Linked DNA regions of Lepisosteus oculatus. The protein of the gene in region 2 interacts with the protein of the main gene of each other region in a pairwise test. Links are inferred from orthologs where the notes say so. Each region holds a gene or a part of one and is shown on either strand. Other genes may lie near its edges. The genes, in order: skap1 and early estrogen-induced gene 1 protein.

Region 1 (7,597 bases), on a different chromosome or scaffold from region 2:
CTAAACTCCTTCAAATCCAGACTCAAAACCCTCTTCTTCAGAAAAGCCTTTACTTAACTGGTTCCATTCTTCACCCCTCTGCTTTTCTTAGTACCACCATCCACGGTCTCCTCTGTGTATTGTCATTGTGTTTTATCTTGTGTATTCTTCTTATTTATTGTTGTTATCATTCTGTAAAGCGCTTTGAAATGCCACCTTTAAAGGCGCTATATAAAATAAGTTTATTATAATTATTATTATTATTATTATTATTATTATTATTACTAGCACTCCAAGGAGGTGGGTAAGCCCACGTTGCTCAAATCAGCGATCAATTTGTCCACTTAGCTCAGGTGTTGAACCCCTCAGGTTCTGGAAGGCAGTACAGTCAGTTTCGCTGCCCCGCGTCTCTGAATTACTTCATTAAGCAAATGACCTTCCTGCTGCAGCCTTTAGAAACCAGTGCTTTAAGATAAGAATGGACAACTTCGGTCTTCAAGGGCCAGGGGTCTTCGGGATTTACTGGTACATCCCAATCAGCAACTTATCAAAATGTAAAACAATCAGGGTTTGTGACTTATACTCATAATGTGTTCATTTACGATCAGAGACAGAAAGAAAAGCTGAGTGCCCTGCTCTAAGTAAAGAGCTTCAGTGCAGCAGAAATGTATGTTCACTCCCAAACAATTAGCGCTTCAACAATTTTAATTTTAAAGTTTTAAAGTTAAAAGCGCAGATTCGTAAACTTATAAAGCAGGTTTTTAACAAATCAGCTGGGATCCCAAGCTTTTTCGATGTGCTGCATGTTTCAACTCCCCTCCCCCTCACCAATGCAGAATTTATGGTCTCAAACTGAACAACTCAGTGAGTCTTCACACGCATCTCTCCTACCCAGCAAGCAGCACATATTCGACAACAGAGAAGAATTTCTCAGGTGCATCCTCTGTGCTGGGGCTTTCCAAAGTAAGTGAGGAGCGAACCACGTTCTTCCTGCACGACAAATTTACAAAAATAATTTTGCTAGGAAGCACCAAGTCAAATCCAAAGACGGTCAGTTTACATTTACATTCATGTCTCTACAGCCCTGCCCATCAGAAAAAGCTGTGTAAACCTTACAACCTCGGTGTGATCTTTTACACATACAGCTGATGCTCACCATTCAAATCCCCTCTCACTCTGTAGACCACCTACTTTGTATCCTTTGACAAAAAAAAAAGACTTTCCTCCCCATCTCCTTGTTCTTGCCCAAGCTGGCCACATCTTCATGCCCACCACTGGGTAATCAAACACTGCTTTATTGCATTCGCGGGATTGTAGCATCTTGAAAGATCGCTAAGCAACTCTCATGCAGGAGGGGGACCCAGTTTGTCTGCCACCACATTGCAGCCCCACCTGGGTGCCGCAAGCAGCCCCCACAGCACACTAGAGCAAGGGGAGGAGTGCAAAACTGCTGCACCAGTTGCATTAAGACGGAACTCTAAGGAGGTCAGATTGTACAGCAGTGGAAATCGGCCAGGACTACATTAACACCCCCATATTCTGGCATGAGGTTGCAACACTAAGTAGTTAGGCCTGGATTCAAAACTCTCATCCAAATGATATCTAGTGGAACGAGGCCTTTTACAGTAGACAAAACCTTGAAAGCCAATTAAAAAACATTACAAAATTACACCGAATGTACACATGCAAACGTCAGGGTTTGTTTTGTTTTGTTACAGTACGTATCTGACAGGGTGTTATCCATGCCCGTTGACCTATGCAAATACTTGTCAAAGGACTGATACACATTGTTCCGGAAATGCAAATCATCGCCTGCAATCCAAAACTCACATTTGCGCCTTTTAATTCCAGGCCAGTTTCAGTCCTCACCCATTTAAAGCCATTTTTGCACATGCCAATTTGGATAAATTCCAGTACATACACACGAGTACCCAGGTGTTCGAGGTCCCCTCTCTCTCTCATTCTTATGCTGTAACAGTATTTAAGCGTGCTTTTGAAATACAAAGGGGGAAACAAAAACACGATTCGGAGAGAAATTCACAAGCACAGCCCATACAAGCACCAACTCAAGCAGATGGGTTAAATGGTACCCGAGCCGCGCCCCGACTACATCAGCCGCCATCGGACTCCTTGTGACGCCCTTGAAAACTCCCAAGCAGCCCAAATTCAGCTACTTTCCCCATGAAGAGGCACCAGCCTTCAGACTCTGAAAGAACAAACTTCAGGGGTCTGTAAAACTACAGATTCACGACTCGAGGGAGCGCCTTTCGTCTGTCCTAGGCCGCTTTTGACCGGTGTCCTGCGGCTGGGGCCGCTATCCTCCCTAGTAGAAAACGTTATACTTTAAAAAAAAATGATTTCCCAAAAGCGTCAGGAGCGGGTGGCCACAAAATGGGAATCCTACAGCTTTGTAGGGGTGCACCCGTGACAGTGAATGGGTTCTCATCCCGGTGCTAACGACGCTTTCCTGGCCTAATTCGGCGCGTCCAGGCTACCACGCCACCAGCGTCGCCAGTACGATCAACCCAGCGTCGCCACAACGCATTTCTTTCAAAGAGGGAGCCTAGACTGGCACCGCCAGCAGATAGCAGATCAAATGAGCAGTCCTTAGTCATTCTCTGTTGCTGCTGGGTTTTTTAATTTAACGACGAGTCCAGCGGGACAGAGCTGAATCCTCCAGTGTTTCCCAAGCCGCTCATGTGAAATTCTCAGGGATATCTACAGGTTACATTTAAACTTTAAAAAAAAAAAAAGGTCAGTGAACGAAAGCTGAAAGTTACCTTCGAGAAGTCTTTTAATGTCTGCGGGGACGACGTCCATGCTTGCGCGTCCTTGCTCCACCTGATGCGGAGAGGTGTTGCGGTCCAGGTCGAGCAGGGCAGGCGAGCGCTCGCACTCGGCGACGGGGGAGAACGAGCCTGACCTCCACCTCTCCACCTCCGCCGGTGAGCGCGCCCGGGGCGGGGGCGCGGGCGCGCACACGCGCAGGCACCTGCCAGCCCCGCAGAACTGAAATTGAAAGCGGGCGCGCGTGGGTCGGGTTTAGTCAGAAAAAAAAAACTCCCTCGCGCTTCAGCTCCGTGCACAGGGTGTCTCGGGTTCACCCCCCCCCCAGCTGCAGAAAAAGTAGCAAGCGTACTTCTCGTGTTGTTGCTTCGTACAGATGCTATGAATCGTAAAAACGAGCACTTTAAGATACAGCTGTTGAGATGTTAAAATGTGAACTTGAAAAGCGTGCATTTTACTTTACTGCTTTGCGCGCCGATTAATTCATAAACACAGTTACATAAGCCTCCCAGAGATTCAGCTGCTACACCTCCTCCTAGCAGACATTAAATCATAGGTTTTGATTCTGGGGGAGGATGACGGGGGGAGGGGGGGGCGTTGCGTCACTCTTTTATATATTTATTCTCTGAAAGGGTCGGAGTTGCCGTTTGAGAGACAACTGTTAACGCTCGAGTGCTTCCTGATGAGAGACTTAGAGACGTGATTTCCAGATTTGGAAAAAAAACAAAACAAAACAATCTTTTCTTTCCCCAGCTGAGCGCGAAGTCCGGGGGGCCTGTCGCGGCGCGCTGACAGACTCCTGGCTTCATCCGCGCCTCCGAATTAATTCCCGGGCGCGCCCGAGTTTGAATCCTTGAACGTGCGGCCCCCACCTGGGTGATGCGCCAGTCCGCTCCCCCACACACCCGCTCTCAGTGGGGAGGAGAGCAGAGGGATGAAGCCCGTTCAGAGAGGGGGGTTCGAATCGTCAGAACTTGAGGGGTGAATACAGACCCTGCCGAAAGGTGAAGATGAAGACGAAAATGATGTGTTAACATGAACATGTCATCTTTTTTTCACAAGCTGCTTCCTACGAAGTGTTTTCCATGAAATATGTATGTTTTTACCTGCAACTATGGCCATTAAAGTTATTAGTTTGGGATTTTGTAACAGTCTTTTTGTAGATGCCCTTTGCAACTCCTACAGTGCTTGTTAATCCTTTTTTGACATCATCTGCGAACTTGACCAATTTGTTATTCACACCAGAGTCCAGGTCAGTGACAGAAATTAGAAACCTCAGTGGTCCAAATACAGACCCCTGCGCTGCTCTGCTAATCATATCACCCCTGTTTGAGCATGTACCCTTTTGTACTCTGCATATTAACCAGTTCTCTATCCCAATACATAATCTTGAAGGCTTACCACCTTATATTTTTCTGAATAACTGCATCAAAAGACTTCTGGCAATCTTGAATATATACACCATATATTTTGATCTGATTGTATAAGGGGTTTGAGAACATGTGCTGTAGATTGCTAGTCTTAAAGTGATGTGGATTTTTTCTCTCCTGAATGGCCAGAGACACGATGCGGTGTTGCAGCTACTGGTGTTTCTGTAACCTGAAATGGGGGGGGAATCGAGCCTTTTCCGGCCCCCAGATGGGAATCAGCAGTGGGATCAGTGGGATTGATGGGATGGGCTCAGTGTCACCCAAGGGACAAGGTCCTGGCATGTGTGCCCAGTGAATCCCAGCTGTGGTCCCACAGTTCCAGTCCTGCGGGGCTCCTCACCTGTCTGTGACCCATCAAGACCACGAGCAGCAGGCCCAGGCGTTGTAGGGAGTGTGTAATTCAATTCCTTAAGCACCTGAGGCGGAGAGACATCCAGGTCTGGAAAAGTTATAGACACAGGAGGGCCTGAGCCAGCACCATCCAAGACATTGTATTTTAGGATTCATTGTCTTAAAGGTCCTCTTTATGAATGATTAATCTGCTCCCTAACTAGACAGGAGTTCCTCAGGGTTACCAGTCCTTGAGCATTTTGGGAACCCCAATGAGCCCTGCACACCGTTTCCCCAAACTGTGAAGGGGGAGAGACCCCCTTGCTTGCTTGCAAGGCGGTTTTCTGCACAGAAAACTACTTTTGGTTTTACAATACTCTAAATACTAAATACTAAAAATGCCTGTACATCAGTGGAAGTGAAGCCTAATAGGTAATTCTAATCGCAGTACTTTACATAAATTGTCTGTGATAAAAAAAAACGGAGGTATTTTCCAGTTCAGCTTGCATAGGAGCTACAACGGATTAACTTGAACGTTTTTTCTTTACAAATCTAAGGTGGTGCTGCTCGCTTTGGGGCAAAATCTTAATCTCCTCCTCACTCAACGCTCAATCTATTACAGGCGAACTGTGCGGTCCTGTCACAGGCGGGAGCTTTTCCTTGTCAATTCGATGTTGTCATACACATGGTAACGACGGCAACGACAATAATGGCGGTAGTAGCCTATAATGGCGTTGCCTTCCATTTTAATACCCGTAATTAAAAGTAATCCTAGCTGTATAAACCTCCTTCCTTCTTCAGACATGCTGCGGCACATCACACGCGGTAAAATGGGCGCAAGTGACTAATGAGTAATATCTCAGCTCTGGATATCGCTCACTTAAACACAGATTAGCTGCTGAAGGCGTATCTTTACGTCAACAGAATTATCGCGCTTTCAGCTCCTGTCTCAATTATTGTCTCAGCCCTTTGATAAAACAGTGTGTTTAACAAATGTTAGCTAACCTTTCGAGGCCTTGGTGCAGCGAACGGTTGCCTCTCATCTCGACTCGCTCGGTTCTGCCCACCCCGGGGCTGGCCGTGGCGTACCCCAGGCCGGGATACCCCGCAGGCCCGCGGGCCGGGTGCCCGAGAGGGGAGCCGGCGGTGACACTACCCATGGCGATATGTTATCTGTTCTCCATCCATGCACCTATACCGTGTGCTTTCCAGCGTTTTAATGCATATTTAATGTGCTTAGACGTTGTCTGAGGCGCTGGGCAACGTGAAAGGCATCTTTTTGAAACATTGCTTTTTTTTTATTATCGGTAATAAGTACCAGTAGCAGCAGTAATAAATCTGAAATCGGCGGCACGGTTTATTTTAGTGCGAAAAGCTGACTGTTTTCCGCCTCGGCGCGGATATAGCCCGGCCCCGCTACCCGAACCAGAATTTCAGAATCGCTGTCAAATCACCGGAAGACGCGTGATTAAAACACGAACGGGGTGGTTTAATTAACGCGACTTCATTTTCTATCGCGCTGCACAGCGCCCGAGTCCATCCTTTAAGGTAATGAAATCATTTGTTTTAAGCTCACGTTAAGCTGCTGGGTAATTAAATGAGACGCCGATGACTGGGCGCTAATGAAGTTTTAGCCCCACAGGTTACGGATTAAGCTCCACGCCAAAGCGGGCACAGGGTGGGGGGGTGGAGCAGGTCTGCTGCTGCCCACGCCACGGCGCACAGGAGCTCACTCGTCACCCGGGTCGTGGGTCCTCCATAGACACAGAAGCCAGTTAGTTTGTGAAGAATATATACATGTTAATGAAAGGTCTTCTGCATTCGCCATCACCTCTGCCTCACCCTGTCACCTGACCCAGACACACAGGCCAGGAGGAAGATGAAAGCAGCGTGAGCATTTTAATCATAATTCAGAAATGTGTCACAGTCACAGTCTAGAACGACATCCTTGCTGTTTCCTAACGCAGCAGGTGACCGTGTCCAGTTCAGGAGGCCTCAACGCACAGTTCAAAATAGCTCAGCTTGTCTGGTGATGGGGCCCCTTCCTTTAGCTCGGACACATCGCACATAAACCTTTAAAATCCTTCTCTGCACAAACACATTGAGTATATATGTATATTTCACCCCCTATCTTCTGAAAATAAAGCATGTGGGTTATTTTCGGTGCCGGCCGAGCTCGGAAAGTTTCTCCTCGGAAACCCAGGTTAGGTGGAAGCTGTTGCCATGGTGACCCGAGCGGGACGCCGTGATTGGCTGCCTGGGCGGCCCAGGTGAACACCGGACGCAGCCGCTCAGAGCAGGCGGCGGGAGAGGCCCAGGTGGCCCAGATGCCGTCTCTCTGCTGTGAGAGGGCAGAAGAGGCTCTTGCCTGGCGATAAGGCCTCCTCGGGCCTGGCTGGACGCGGGCCGATAAGGAAGGAATGGGTCAGTCTGGGGGGGAGGGTCAAGACACGCAGACGTCCCGCCCAGGCTGATGGGAGAGCTGGCGCTCTTTCAGACGCGCTCCAGTGGGCCCGAGCAGGAGTCCCGAGGCTCGTGCCAGGGAGGCTGGGCTTCAGTCCTCCTAGGGCGTCCTCATTTCGCATAGGCCGGTGCCCTGCTGTAGCTGCGAACCTGCATCTGGATCAGGGTCAGGACTCCAGTCGGGCCTGGGGCGGCCAGTCCCAATCAGGGCTCGCCTGGAAGCTCTGGGTTTACTATCTGCGCTGCTGGCACAGACCCTGCAGTCGTCAGCGGCAGAAAACAACGCTCACAGACAGCCGTAGATCAGTGGCTGCCTGGGTGACTCTCAGGCTGAATGTCCAGGGCAGGCTAGTGATGACTGTCTGTGGCTGAAGGCTGCCGGGATCTCATTCGGGCGCCCTGCAAGACGGGAAGTGTGAAGTACACCGCCGGCCCCACTAGGGGGCGACCGTTGCTGTCTCTGGCCGGAGAGCTGTTCTGAAGTGCAGAGGAAATTCTGGCTCTGGTTACAGCGCAGGCGAGCTCTTAAAGGGGCCGCCGATCTATTTTGAAATAGTAATAGGTTTATTCCACGCTGGAAAACACGACGTTTCGGCCGTGGAGCCTTC
Region 2 (7,075 bases):
AAGCCTCCTTTCACGTGCAGCCCTTGTGTCATTTTTGTTGTCCTTGTGCCTTTAAAGACATGGATCACGGTAATGATGCCAGACACAGGCAGTGACACTTCTGAAAACTGCTGATCAGGTCCAACCAACAAGGAAGGAAACAAGTTCAAGTAAAAAGCATTTAGGAAACAAAATGGGATGCACAGACAAATATGGACATTCTTCTCGAGAACTCTCAAAAATACACCCAAGGAGCTCTTCCAAGTGTACGTTACCAGCAACCACAACCCTGCAAGCGGGTTTAACAAAGTCCAGTTGCATAACTGATTTTTTAAATCTAAACAGTTTGACATTTCATAACCGTAACTACAACTGGCTCGTCCAACAGAGGGGAATTCGGGCCTGTTATGACTAGTTATTAGAGTTTCCTTTTTTTCTAAAGACAGCCCAGGTTAGCTTTGATCTCAGGGCCCTGGTTACCTTTGATCTCTTGGTTATGAAAGCCTGTTTCACAAAGCCGCTTGACCCCAAAAGGACTGCCTTGTTCAAGCAAATTCACCTGTCCCTGCGTAACAGGGCTGAGGGATTCCAGTAACTCCTGCTTATTCAGCTCACACGTCAGCAAGTAAGACATATCGAGAGGTTCAGCATCAGTAGTAACTGAGGTGTGAAAAAACAGGAATATTGCAGACAGTGGACACAAGGAGGATACAGGGGGCACCGTTTGTTAACCATGACTATTTTTTTTTATAAGGGTTAAAATAACCATGAGGTTAATGCTGTAAACACTGCACTGAAAATAGGCTCAATGGCCAAACTATTAAGCCCCCCTGCCTCCAGGGTCTCTCTCTCAGTGGCAGGCAGGTCAGGATATTTACCGATTTCTCTAAAGTGAAAACTGGTAGAACGTGGGGGGCGTGCACCTTAAAATTTCACACCGCTCATGCCATTATCACAACCTCAAACAAGAACCCCGCAAGGTACAAGGGTACGCAAGACACGCCCCGTCCTGGACGAGCCCATCTTGAGCTCTGCAGAGGCCCCCCAGTAACACGGCCTACGAGAATCTCTCTCCGCAACGTCCGTGGTGGAAGTCTCCAGATGGCTGACTTCCTGCCTGAATTCTAGCTTCAGTTTCTTTCCCCTCTCCGCATGCTCAACTGCGGCCAGATGCTCTGTAAGGTCCACGCCTGCCGGAGACACCACTCCTCGAGGAGGGACGGGCCTGCCGGGCCCGATCAGGCCTGCGGCCCCCCGCCCACGCCAACACGTTGAGTGTAGTGCGTCACAACGCCACTGCCAAGCCCTGCAGCGCACACGGAAAGGACTAGGACTTTAACTAGCGTCCAGCGTCTGCACCTGCACAGACCCTGATAAAGCACAGGGCAGGTCCACTCCAGAACGATGCGCGGAGACAGGACCGAGATGGTGAAGCTGGGGATTTACAGTACTTGTGTCCCCAGGTGGAGACGAGCTCATTCCCCTCTCCCTCTCCCACACACTGAAACTCTCTGCTCGTTAAGCTCTTCGCTGGGGGAAAGGTAATAGCAGGCCCTGAATGGGCCGATTGTTGGAAAGGAATTTGGAACAATTTTGCTTTACACAAAGGAGCTGAAAACCCAAGAGGGGGTGTTCACCTGCTGGAAACGTAATAAGAAATGATTTGATACCTCCTTGCAGAGAACCTAGGTCAGCAAAAAAAAAACTACATTTTTTAAGAATATTAGAAAGGCTACAAACTAGAGGACAGAGGAGACTATTCGTCCCGTCTTGCTTGTTTAACAGTTAGTTAATAGAAGAATCCTACCACTGCTTGAGAGAAACCAGATATCAACTTCAACCCAACTACTGTAGCTTGTTCCATACGACCACAATACTTTTGGATAAAACAATGCCTCCCGTTTTCAGCTCTCAGTTTGTGCGCGCCTGTGTTTATTCTGAAGAAATCTTCTGAGCTGACTTTGTTCATATCTTTTGAGGATCTTGAAGACCAAGAGGTACATAACCTAACATTTTGTTTGCATTTTTAATTGCTATATTTAAGTGATGTGTCAACATAAGCACCTTGGACCTCTTTCAAGTGTTTCTAGCTCAGCGTTTCTCTTTATAAGAGACCTTCTGATTGCTACAACCAAATACAAAACGACCCATGTAAAAAACTCCAGGACTGATGTTGGGGACCAGTGTAGGTATGTGCCACTGTTCAGAAGCTTCACCTGTTTTGCTGCTCTTGATTGCTGTGCCAGCTTTTCATGAAGCAGATGGGTTTCCACAGGACAGTGACAGGTTTTATCTGTAAAAAATATGCTCCTAGCTTCACAGCCCATTCTGTATGTGAGTCCATGAAGTACAGTCCTACAACACTGAGCATTAGCACCTTTACTGTTTAAAATGAAGCTGCCACATCCCATGCCCTGTTCTGTAGGAAATAGCCTTTTAGTCTTTCAGAAATGTTTGCTTATTACGTACGTGAGTGCCGGACTGCACAGCACTTTCATTGAGGTTTAAAGTGCCTTAATAATAGGCCTGCTATTGGGAAGAAGAGGTTTCCCGTCTGCCAGCCTTCAAAATTACTAGTGTGCGCTCAAAGAGCCCATTCTCCACTTGGTTTTTTACAGCTGTCTCTATAGGACTTCACTCCTCCACCTCGTCTCTCTCCCTCCTCTCCATGCAGCACAGAGCTCACCTTTTAAAGAAAACATGAATGCGGGTTCAAATTAAATATCCTTTCCCTTCCTAAAGAGTCAATAGATTCGTATGCTTCAACAAGAGCTGGACAAGCAACGTTTTGAAGAACTTGTTAGAATATCTAAGCTTAGATAATATAAGAACAAGAACACACACTTATTAAATATTTATGGTATTTTTCCCATTCTAATAAAACAAATCTAATAAAACTGCATATTTCCCCAAAAGCATTTGAACCGATTTACAAACCTGAGATTTTTTACAGAAGCAATCCGAGTGAAGATTTGAACCCACAACCCTCCAGATACGAGTCTGGAGCCCTGACCTCTGCACACCACTGCTCACACGTGCAGCTCGTATGCCCAAATAAACTGTAAAATAAACGACTGTTTTGCTGTCAGTTCCTCCTTTGGTCTGGCTGGCTGGAGATGACTACGGAGCCGCTGCAAATAAACGATTCAGACGCACCAACACGTAGCAAGCAATGGCATTTTTTTCAATCACATTTGTGAGGTATCACAATTACAGCTACACTCCTCCTTTTATTGTATACCTGAACAGCAGCTACACCAGCCTGGTATGCAGCAGTCTGGCTTTTATCAAGTTACAGCTTCGCACCTGAGCACTGGACACACAGCCTGAACTGGCATATTCTGTTATGCAATGTACCAGTTAAGCTTAAACCAAGCTGAGTCACAGCATGTGATCATGGTCCCCACCTTTGGAAACCAGGCAGGACTGCGGATCTGTGGTATATTTGCGATGTCAGTTAGAAAGCTGTTATATAATTCGTAACCAGCTTATCCTATTCCAACTGCCAGGTTAATATTTTTCTGCAAGGAAGCTAAGAATGAAATGTTCAACTTGTAGCGTCCTGAACATTTTAACAGGGAGTAGCACACAGCCTGAAATCACCAATCTAAACCTTTGTAAGCTTTCTTTTATATAAGTGGTGGCCAAAGAAATAAAGTAAACAGCGATTTCATGTGGATCATTCCTCCAAGTTGGAGACTGGGTGTCTCCGATCAAACTCGGAAAACGTTCCGTTTCCCTGGCGTCAGCAACCTGCAGCCTGAGAAGGATCACAGAGCGAATAACATTGAGACGAGCTAGTAGCTGGATCCTCTCTGCAAAAAAAAAGTGCTGACGTGGCTCTTACAGGCTTTACTTGTATTTTTAGGGAAGTACGGAGGGTGAAGGATTCTTTCTTCTCAGCCAGGAGGAAAAATAAAAAAACAAGTGATTTTAATTGAATTCAGAGAATTCATACCCCATTTTTTTTAACTCTTCTTTCGTGGTCTTTCTTATTCACATTTGTTGAGAGCTTCCTGCATAGCCTGCTCTTCTGAAGCAGTTCACCCTCAGCTCCGCCTCAAGTTAAAACCAGGCTTCACACTGGGCAGGCAAACACCCGAAAAACATAGGAAAACAGGCACTCGGAGACAAACTGACACGAACATGCACGTTCAATTAAACTAACAGGGCTGCGCGCACACACGCACAGGCCGAGACAGCATCTGTATCCAATCTGCTCCCTAGGCGATTAGCCGAAGACAAACAGAAATCCCCAGAAAAATTCCTCTACACGGGCAGGCTCACAAGACAGGGTGAAAGGCCACAGTGCTCCGCTTCAGAAAGATGGGGGCTAAACTGAAGGAGATGGCTGCCAGCAACCACTACAAATTAAAAGCTTTTTTAGCCAGAGAAATGTACCGCAAAACTACATCTAACATCGGATCCCGAACTTCATCCCTCTACTGAGCGCGCAGCTGGCTGGCTGGCTGGGGAGCTGCAGGCCGGCGCATTCTTCCCAAATTCAATAAGTCACGATGACAAGTCAGCAGCTTTTGTGGGATCTTTCGGAGTGCCGGCACTCCTCCAGCTTCTCCAGGTTCTCTTCCGAGTCAGCTGCCATGGAAGTCTCGGGACTGTCCAGGCAAAAAAGTCCCCCACTTCCCTGCGATCCCCCCCCAACTCAAAAGAATCCAGAATTTCCCAAACCCAGCCCCTCCGGGAAATGGGAGCCGCATGACAAAGAAAGAGAAACACGAACTTTGAGAAGCCATAAACAAAGTAAAGTTCCCTGCCAGAGGTACGCTCGACCCAAACCATGAGAGCTGTAAGCTCTGCAGGTCAGACCCGGGAACTTTCTAGAAATCTTTGATGTGGCAAAAGAAAAAATACAGCCGCTGCAGAAGAAAACACTTTCCAGAACTCCATTCAAAACTCAACACTTGAGCCCGAGTCTCAAGCTGGGCGATGTGGGTCGAGGAGTGGTCCAGTCGGAGAAACCGTGAAGAATGTCATCTTTGTGATGCCGTGACCCCGCCCGTGCCTGCTGGGGATTGATGCTCAGCAGTAGCAGGTGTGAACAGGCACTGATACTGAGACAATGACGCCCCTGGCAAGGGTCTGACATTACAAACTGGGGCTTATCGGCATCACCAGTGTTGCTAAACCACAAGATGCTTCTTCTCTCTCTTCATAGGAGTCACCTGAACGACGGCAAGGCTGAATTTTAGCAAGGGAATTTAAAACTCCTACAGGCTAACAGCATGCCGAACACTTTAAAGCCAGGGTTCTTACATCTGGTGTCTGGGGATTTCAGATCATTCAAGCTCATGTTCCTGCTGGGTTTTCAGTTAATAAACTACTTCATTTGGCCTTTTTAATTGTTTTCAGCTCTTATGAAGTTGATCCTTTAAGTAACTTCGGAAGTATCACAAACAGTAACACTTCGGTGGCGCAAACTTAATAAAAAGCGTCCAAGACCGAAAACGATTAGCCCCTTTCAATTAAAGACTTAATTGCGGATTTGAAAGCCGGGCAAGACTCAAATATGCTTGTGGTGCCGAGAAGCAGCTGGGGAGATTAGGAGACGGGGGGGAATGCAAATGAGAAGCTGCATGCGTGTCAGTTTCAGAAAAAGGCCAAAACAAACCGCTCAGCTCTCACAGGCCTTTTCACTTGTCATACGCAGGCGTGAGCCCAGACGTGCGCCCCTCTCCATGAACCAGCCCTTTCCCTGGCCGCTCACCCGCCTGCTCTTCCCCAGCGCCGCGCAAGCCAGCCAGGGGCTTCCTGGAACAGGACCACCTTGCTCACTCGGCACAGCTGCGAGGAGTTGAGGAGCTGGCTCCTCACCAGCCAGCGGGCCTGTGCTCTCACCGAGCTGCTGGAGCAGAACCAAACTAACGTCGCTTTCCCAGAGCGGTCTGCACGCTCACCGGCAACAGCGCTGCTGCCTCCGATGTTACAGACCACGAGTCAAATCAGACGTTCGATTCCACTATCAACACCAAGACACAGCAAGATCCTCCTGTCACAATCCTCCTCCGTGCTGTGACTCTGCAGCGCTCTAGAAGCAGGCAGAGTATATACAGGAGTAAGAGAAGAGGACAGGAAACAAAAAGCAAGAGCAGAGGCTCCAGCGACAGCGAGCTTGAAAACAAAGACCCCCTACTCCTGGGCAGGTTTACTAAACTGTGCACTTGGGGGAGATCCTGCAGTCTCCTTTCTTTCAGGACGGGGTTTTCAGACTGCCAATGCTGGATTTCTGGACCTTAATAGCCACAGTTTTAGGGGGGTGGGGAGGAGTGGATCTGATTTTGCTTAAGAAAGAAAAAGACAATATGTACATATTTGCTTCCAGTGCAAAGTTCACTATAATCTGTCCCAGGTCACAGCTCAATCCTAACTATAACATTACTCCCTCTATATCAACAAAAAAAGTGCAGAGTCACAGTAAAGGCCTACTAAGCTTTAAGCACACACGTAGATATTAAATGGCAATAGCTAAAGGATCCCTGTATTGCTTTTCCACAAAAGGAGATCCTTTGAAATTCATAACCAAAACAAGACCTGTAAGCAAAACACTTGCAGCTGCTCTCCGAGTCTAAACCACTGAATTCGCTAATAAAATCAGGAACTGCTCAACAGGCACCAGAAATCCACTGAAAAAAAAATCGATGTTTTTGTTTACCAGTGAATACTTGGACCTTTATCAAGAGTTTACTTCACACTAAGGATTCCTCTCCAGATTGCCAGTTTCGACACAGGCCCCTTGGTTTTCACGTTGTGGAACAAGGTCCAGCGAGGTGAAACAACAGGCGGCGCCGGCCCACAGCCCTGCACCTTATCTAGAAGGAGCACTACCGGCCTGCTGGTACCTGTGGGAGCCATGTGTTTCTGAGCAAACAACCAAAGCTTTCCTTGTGTGGCTGTCACGGCAACAGGGCCGGGCCTGCGTGGGGACAGGAAACTGTAAATCAGTCCTGTGACACACACACACACACACACGCACACACACACACGCACGCACGCACACACACGCACACACACACACGGTCACGGTCGCCGTGGAGCTCAACAGGAAGGGAATCCAGCCGTAAGCTGGCAGCTTGTCCGG

The links.
Region 1: the proteins of early estrogen-induced gene 1 protein (region 2) and skap1 interact in binary tests that used the Homo sapiens proteins (3 or more experiments, as listed by UniProt). The two-hybrid records come from large-scale screens. The link is inferred for Lepisosteus oculatus from reciprocal best matches to the Homo sapiens genes EEIG1 and SKAP1.

The regions. Positions count from the first base shown.
Region 1 is NC_090723.1:9,185,405-9,193,001, forward strand, and holds the start of skap1 (src kinase-associated phosphoprotein 1), read right to left. Parts: upstream 3,044-7,597; 5' UTR 2,800-3,043; coding exon 2,760-2,799; intron 1-2,759. UniProt on the Homo sapiens protein: Positively regulates T-cell receptor signaling by enhancing the MAP kinase pathway. Required for optimal conjugation between T-cells and antigen-presenting cells by promoting the clustering of integrin ITGAL on the surface of T-cells.
Region 2 is NC_090719.1:15,284,578-15,291,652, reverse strand, and holds the start of early estrogen-induced gene 1 protein, read right to left. Parts: upstream 3,180-7,075; 5' UTR 1-3,179. UniProt on the Homo sapiens protein: Key component of TNFSF11/RANKL- and TNF-induced osteoclastogenesis pathways, thereby mediates bone resorption in pathological bone loss conditions.